2 linked regions of the Coturnix japonica genome follow. The protein of the gene in region 1 purifies or fractionates together with the protein of each later gene. This does not show direct contact. Links are inferred from orthologs where the notes say so. Each region holds a gene or a part of one and is shown on either strand. Other genes may lie near its edges.

Region 1 (3,817 bases):
ATTCAAGTCTTATTTGCTTATTGGCTTAGTATTGGCCTTACCCAGCAGCTTCCAGTTTGCTGATCTCTAAAACTTCCAGTGGAACTCATTTCTCATGTAGTTTATCCAAACCTATTATTGGCATGCTGCTTCTGGTTAATTTTCACAACTTTTTAGGACCACATTCATAGCAGTTAACCACTGTGCATCTTTATCACACATGGAGCATATCTTTGCTCTAGTACTTAAATTACTGCATGTCTTTTATTGGATTGCTTTACCACTTAATGTTGACACAGTCAGCAAGCTGGGCTCATAAATTCGATACCGTATTATAAACCATTTATGTTCATTTCAACACAAAAGGCTGCAGGAATAGCAAAGAGTATAACATTCCAAGGACCATATTTGAAAAAATATGCACATTCAGTAATTGCTAAAGAGAATGCATTAGAAATATTTAATGCTAAATACACTAGTATGTATAGGTTACCTACTGATATTTACTAAATCAACATATTCATTCTTACCTCTATTTGTTCCAAAGTATCTTGCAGTTTTGAATTCAACTCGCTATCAATGAAAGAAAAAAAAATGTCTGAAATCAAACTACTGATCATACTAACAGTGGTGTATTCTTAACGCCAAAGACCTCAACTAAATCAATTATTATGGGTAATTACTCTGAAGTTGTAACAAACCACACGTTTATAAAACAGCCAATTATTTCTTCTGTTTCATCAAAAACAAAAAAAGAAGTATTTCTAAACTAGAAACTGTAGACATACTGCTTATTTTCAATTCTGAAAGCAATTTAACCTCAGTGGCATAAAGCTGTATATTAGCTATTTTCATCACCAAAAATTCAGGTAAGTTGCCCGTCCAAAATCATCTTACTGAAGGTTAATTAATTCCAGGTTAAAAACTTCCTTATTAAAATGTATCCATCTGTAGCAGTCAAAACTCAGCCTTAGCCAAAACTTTACCTGACAACATACTATGAGACTTAGAAAACAATGACACAGACCAGGCAGAGGTTATATCGCGTTAGTAGTGATTTGTTAGTAGTGGTATAGGGGAACAGCACCACTGAGGGTCTTCATACTTTTATAAATCCCTTAACATTACATTTCTAAGAAGAAAATCTAGTTTAAATCAAAACTGCTTTAGAGACTGAGAAATAATCATCACTGCTTTGTATCATTGACAAATATCCAGAACGTGAGATCAGCACGTCACCTCACCTTATACAACTGTAGTGTTTGAAAGTGCTGGCAGCTTTCTGGCATTCCAAACATAGTTGAATAGCTCCTGGATAGTCCTCTTCCTTGGGATAAAATAAAACAGAAAGCTAATTTGGCTTTGGAAGCAAACACCACAACACTCATTCTTCCTTAGAAGCTAATGAATAAACGTAATGACCAAAATATTTCACCACTTACATTTGTATAGTGTGAAGTTACAGCAAACTATTGAGGGTCTGCTGTAAAAATTAATGTGCAAACCATTCAGAATTTTAAGCAGGCAACATTGGGTGTGAGCAACATTTAAAAATACTGCACATATTGTGTTCTTATGCAAATGCTTGTTTACCTACAGATTCAAAGAAAATGTATCAGAAAGCTCTTATTAAAAAAACAGCTTTCTCATTTAATTTTCAAACATTTGTTAATACAACACAATCCATTTATGAGCGGGGAAGAGGTAAATTCAAGCAGGCTGCAAAACCAACAGAGACACATGAGAGACACACCAGTATTATGCAAAACAAATATTTTCTATTTACATTGATACATTCAATAACTAATGAAAATGAATTGTAGACAACTAGTTCGCAACAGAAGACCCCAAGACGAAAAAAACCCAAAACTTTGGGGGAAGAAAAAAAAGTTGCTCTAATTTATAAAAAGAACACTTATTCAAACCAGGAACCATATGATGATACAAAACAAAACTATATGCTCAAGACTGTACAACCCCAAGGTTCTGCCAACAGTGTCTTGGCTATAATTACTACTTTTGTATTTTATTAAGGGTCTTGGCCAGAATCTCAGAGGAAGGAAAATCCTCATTACTAACAGCTTTCCTGTGCTTCTTTTTTCCCCAGTTATATCCATTATAATACATGCTTCAGAGAGCTCAAATGAAAAGCTGTTACTGAATTTTCAGATTCAGTGATTGAACATCAAAAGCACAAGAGCAATTTATATTCAGCTACTACCATAGTAGTTCCTCTATGGAATTTCGGAAATGAAACCGCTTTAGCAGCAGCATTATAATACAAATCAGATTTACTATAAAAATATAATACAGATTTGCTATTTAAAAAAAAAAAAAAAGGGGGGGGGGGGGGGGAGGGGAAAAAAAAAAAAAAGGAATGCTGAGAAAAACCTACTTTATCCATTACATGATCTCTAAACAGCAAATCAGCTTAACATGATTGCTGCAATTACAGCTCTTTGCATTATTCTCCATTGTAAACCCAGGACTTTCTCCGTTAAGTCTACCAGAGCTGTAAAGTTGCAAGTTCCATGCTTTCAAGTCAAAAAGCCTGCTTGCACTGTATATATTTCTAATATATCCCAGATGTTTCTCACCTTCCTCTGTCCAGTCTTTTTTAGTTGGAAATCCTACCTAGATGGTCCTCCCTGAATGGCTACTAGTAGCCTTTGCATATCCTCCAAGCTTTATCTTTCTCTTGGAAAAAAAGAATAATAATAAAATGGCTAATATGTGGAATACAGTACTTGTGATCAGAGAGTGAACACTGATCTAGAACTCCACTTAGCCAGAAAGTGTGCCTTCAGCAGTTAATACTCGAAAATCATAGGCAAAATTATGGTAACCTGTCATTAGGGTATTTGTGCAGATGCAACAGCCACTTTTCTACATCATGATAGCTCCTAGGAGCAGAGAACGACACCTGATCTTTTGTGCAATACAGTACAGCAAAAAATAAGAAGCTAATAAGTGTGCAGGGCTTGGTGAGCTAAAGATAATGTTGATGCAGCCTCAGGTGAATCAATGTATCTTGTTTGGTAAAGAGCAACAACGTACGTTACCGAAGATGGGATTTAAGAATCTTAGGAGTAAAAATGAGTAAGGTTCTAAATCGAGTCACAAGGATTATCACAATGATGTTCCATTTGATCTGACATCAGCTATAAATATTCAGCAATCTACAAGTCAAAATTCGTACATGATATTATTAAAATATAGCCATCAATAAGCTTGCCAAGCTTTCATACAGTTTTAAAACCTAAAGACAAGATCTTATTTTCACCCTGCACATTTTCTCCTACATTTTAAGTAGTGTATACTAACACAAACACCTTATCAGAAGTATCTTTAGTGCCATAGCCTGTGTACTACAACTTTTTACATAACTTGCTATTAAAAAATTAAGCCACTAAATAAAAAGAATCACACTATTCCACCACAAAGGCCCATCATATCCTGTTCATAAGATGAAGGAAGAAGGGATAGTTAAGAGGACTAACAGAAGACAATTTAGAATAGCTTCAAGATACAGTAGTCTGGTAGAGACTTACCTCCAGCATCTCACTTAAACGCACATCTGTTCTTTGCTGAAAAGAAAAATAAAACACTAATAACTACAAGGAAATGAACAAAAATATTCTGCTATTAACTGGAAAAAAAATCTGTATATACCAGTGTTTTTATTGTCCTCAGAGACTTCAGTAGTCCAATAAGCAACTGTCTTTTTCTTTGATTTGCAAGAAGTCCCAAACTGGTTTGTGTGAAGCCTTCCTTTGCAATATTCAGGTGTCTGTGTAAATTAACAATGAACATGATAAATTTAATGATATATAAAGTA
Region 2 (4,382 bases), on another chromosome or scaffold:
CTAGTCCTGAACAGAATGAAATTCAATAATTTATTGATCAAAGTTTGTCGAAGTAGTTTCAAACAGCGAGTACTTATATGCTAGTATAAAGGCTCAGAATCTGTATCTTCCATTTATGTTTTCATGAAACGTGAACTAAGATACTCTTCTTCCATTAGGCTGTATTTTCATGAAAACCAAATTAAAAATAAATAGTATTTGCACATTATTCTAAACTGCCTTACTTAAAACTGGCCAGAAATTATGCAGAAAAACTTGTATTGCAGTGATAGAAGGAATTAGCTTCAGATTCTTAAACTTAAATACCATGCCACACTGAAGCAGATCAAACACATACTTACAACAGCCACATTTTTCCAGGCAGTATCCAAAATCAGATTGTTATTGACTCCTGGAGACAAACACAGGATGGGCAAGTCTGCAAACTCTAATGTAGCTTCTAGGTGCCCTGGGTTTGTGACATATAAATAATAGAAGTAAAAAGATCCCTCCCTCTCTATAAACGCTTTATCATTTCTAATCTCAGCTTTGAGTAAGCTTGTCATAGACATGAAGGAAAGACTACCAGGAACTGAAAATAAAAGAATAAAAAGCAACTTAAGCAACAAAAGAAAAATTCATTAAACAGGCTGAAAAGTTCTTCTGTAGACACAGTGCTTCTGACACATACACTGGGAAGAAGCAGTCATAAACCAGCTTTCTTACCCCCATCCTCTCTCTAAGTGCTCTGAATTAAGTGTAATTCTCTTTGATTACCACCATCTCAGTACTTTTGCTTCCCCAACCCACCAGAGCTGTTGCACACATTGCAGAAGGGAAGAGGTCCCCAAGAGATGTGTGATGTGAAAGGCTGAATAGTGCAGGCCCATGACCAGGCACACAGGCTAGATTTCCTATATTTCTGAGAAATCTGTCATTAAGACCTCCAAGAAAAAAGCTATGAATTTTACAAAAACAGAGGACATATTACATTCTACAAGAAATAATAGTTTCATTAATGTTTAAGTACAAGCTACACAAAAAACAATGGCAAATTATCAGACTTGAGTAGATTTAACTTGTGGTGCAGGTCAGTGCTACACATCAGCTCTGATATGAGAGGAAAACCAATCAGATATTTTTTCTAAGACAAATCTATTTGCGTAGTCAGCATCACAGAGCAAGCAATTCAGTAAACAGAGCACCAAACTTCATAAACAGAACCCTCACACATCACCAGAACACTTTCCATAAACATTTTAGTAATGAAAAAATGCACATAGGTATGCATTTATTTCATTACTTTGTATTACTGAATCTGCTGTAGAATGAAAATATTGCTCTGTGAGCCGCAGAAGAAATACAGCCTCTCCTATTACAACAGCAATAGGAGTAGGGAAGTTGTTGCTAAAAACAGCTGAGTAAAACCTTATTGTGGGAAGGAACAATGGGACAGCATCACTCTCATCTACCTGGCTGCCTTACTGGGTGTTCCCCTACAACTTATAAGAAGTGCACTGACTATGAGATTGTATTCCTCCATTATGATCAATAGAATCATAGAATTGCCCAGATTGGAAAAGACCTCAAAGATCATTAAGTCTAACCACAGCCTAACCATAGTAGCCTAACAGCCCTCTGCTAAATCATCTCTCTGAGCACCACATCCAAATGACTCTCAAACATATCCAGGGACAGTGACTCAACCACCTCCCTGAGGAGCCTATTCCAGTGTTTAACTACCCTTTCTGTAAAGAAGCGTTTCCTAAACAGGTTCATAAGGTAGAGTAGGACAGTCCAGGAGGAAGCTCAGTCCTTATATCCAAAATCACAGAACCATAGTAGTTGTAAGGGTCTTCCGAAGCCCACCTAGCCCAATCCCCTGCTGAAGCAGGTTCCCTACAGTGGGTCATACAGGCAGACATCCAGGCAGGTCCTGAATATCTCCAGAGAAAGAAACTGCACCACTTTTCACAGAATCACACACAGAATCACAGAATGACCCGGGTTGGAAGGGACCTCAAGGATCATGTAGTTCCAACCCCCCTGCCTGGCAGGGCCACCAAACATACACATTTACTAGATCAGGTTGCCCAGGGCCCTGTCCAACCTGGACTTGAACATTTCCAAGGACGGGGCATCCACAACCTCCCTGGGCAGCCTGTTCCAGGGCCTAACCACTCTCCTAGTGAAGAACTTCCCCCTAACATCCAACCTAAATCTACCCTCTTTTAACTTAAAACCATTTCCCCATATCCTGCCATTGTCAGCCCTTTCGAAGAGTTTACTCCCCTCCTGGGAGTAAGTTCCCTTCAGGTATTGAAAGGCTGCAATGAGGTCACCCCGCAACCTTCTCTTCTCCAGGCTGAACAAACCCGACTCCCTCAGCCTGTCCTCATAGGGGAGGTGCTCCAGCCCCCTGATCATCTTTGTGGCCCTCCTCTGGACCCTTTCCAAGGGTATATAGGGATATAACCAAGTACAGTTCACAACTTCTTGTTAAGTTCCATGTTCTACCCTCAGAATAGGAATGGGGCGGGGGGAGAACCTGAAAAGGAAGAAACAGCTTGAAGAACCTACTGGAGACTACTGGCATCTCATCCACACAGCACAAAAAAAGAGAAGGCTGCTAGAGAAGCACACAAGAAGCTGACAAGGAAGCAGAAGCCCAGGGCACGCCGGAGACACAGCCGAGCATCGCAGCAAAGGGACACGGCAAAGGAGCAGCCCCAGCGGGGCCTCTCAGCTCACCGAGGGCCTCAAGGAGCGGCACAACGGCTCCTACGGCTGCTGAAAGCTGAACCGACCCTCTTCCATCCGCACCCACCTGGAACTCCAGCCCGTAGATGACCGGCGCGTCGTCCTCCATGCCGACACACACCGCCTGCCTCTCCCCTCTGCTCCTTTCTGACCCTCGGCGCTGCCCGTCGGCCGCTTTACGGAGCGGACCCGGCGCAGCCGCAATACCGCCCTCCTCGGCCGGCGGAGCAGGCGCAGTGGGGAAGAGCAGCGGGGGCGGCGGGCCGAGCGGTGAGGTGAGTAGGGGTGGACGGGATCCGATGAGACGGCAGTGGGGCACGGGCCTGCAGGAGGGCGCAGAGGAGGATGAGGAGAGTAGGTGCCCGGGGTGCTGCGCCCACCTTGAAGCTCCGGGGGGACCCTGCGGAGGCCCCGAACCTGGACGGCCTCGGTCTGTGCGGGAGGGGCCGAAGCAGCGCCAGTGTCAGTGTTAGTGTCAGTGTCAGCCGTGCTTCCCTTCCTGCCTAGGCCGGATCAGTCCTTGCAGGCACAAAAGCCGCTGTCTTGCTGCGTGTGCTTAGGTGGATGTATCTGCCAGCGAATCCCAGCGCTTGGGGTTTGCTCGGAACGCTGTGGGCTGAAGAGAGACGTTTTGTGATTTCATTCCTTGGGCAGATATTGGAGGAAAAATGTCAAACGGTGACATGTCTGTGTTTTTAGTGTAAAAGTTACAGTTTTTGTTTGGTATGTGGTTATTTGGAGTGGCCAAACTAATTTCTGCGTATCCTTTCTCCCTTCAGTGCCATGGAGAATAGTACAGGCAGTGCTAAGGATGCTCAGAGCACCTTGGATGAAGAGGACGGAGGAAATGCAACTCAGCAGAAAACTCGGGAAGAAATCCTTTTTCATGAGGAAACCATTGATCTTGGTGGTGATGAGTCTGAAGGGAATGAAACTGTATCAGAAGATTCTAATAACTTTATAGATAAGCTTAATGAACAAATGATGGAGAGTGTCATTATTTCAGACTCTCCAAACAACAGTGAAGATGACACCGGTGAACTCGGTTGCCTGCAGGAGATTGTAGAGCAAATGGAAGCTAAGGATAACCAAAATACTCAAGCAGAAGTGGGCAAAGAAGAGCTTTTAAGTAATGAGAGTGAAACTGAACATGAAGAGACACCCAAAGACATCTCTGAGATTGGAACTGATGATCAGGCATCTTTAAAGGAGGAATCAATTCAGGAAACAGAGAAAGATGAACCAAAGTTGGGAAACAACATTCCCGTTGAAACAAAGCCAAATGGTATTGAGGAAAGTAAACTCGATGACCAGACATCATCGCCCAGAACTAGCAAACCATCTGCTGAGGTTGAGCCTATCCCTGTGTGTACTATTTTCAGCCAAGCAAACAATGCTAATGCTCAGCCACAGCTGTTCCTGCCTGATGGCTTCGAGCCTCAGATGGTGAAATCTCCCAGTTTCAGTAGTATCATTGAGACTCCAGTGAAGTCTAATCCACAGGTGGTTCAGCCCAGTCCTAGTCTAAGCAAGTTCTTTGGTGATACTGTTAACACTAATACTTTAGCTTCAGATTTTTTTGATTCATTTACTACGTCCAATTTTATTTCTGTCAGTAATCCCAACGCAAGCTCTTCAGTTCC

Evidence for each region.
Region 2: the proteins of VPS50 (region 1) and EIPR1 purify together in Homo sapiens (affinity purification with mass spectrometry; 4 studies listed by BioGRID and IntAct, counting the BioPlex papers as one, with this or other methods). This does not show direct contact. The link is inferred for Coturnix japonica from reciprocal best matches to the Homo sapiens genes VPS50 and EIPR1.

The regions. Positions count from the first base shown.
Region 1 is NC_029517.1:20,937,856-20,941,672, reverse strand, and holds part of VPS50 (syndetin), read right to left. Parts: intron 3,770-3,817; coding exon 3,652-3,769; intron 3,567-3,651; coding exon 3,531-3,566; intron 1,307-3,530; coding exon 1,224-1,306; intron 553-1,223; coding exon 510-552; intron 1-509.
Region 2 is NC_029518.1:85,457,032-85,461,413, forward strand, and holds the start of EIPR1 (EARP and GARP complex-interacting protein 1), read right to left. Parts: upstream 2,915-4,382; 5' UTR 2,849-2,914; coding exon 2,807-2,848; intron 1-2,806. Other genes in the region: TRAPPC12 (trafficking protein particle complex subunit 12), read left to right, coding at 3,523-4,382. UniProt on the Homo sapiens protein: Acts as a component of endosomal retrieval machinery that is involved in protein transport from early endosomes to either recycling endosomes or the trans-Golgi network.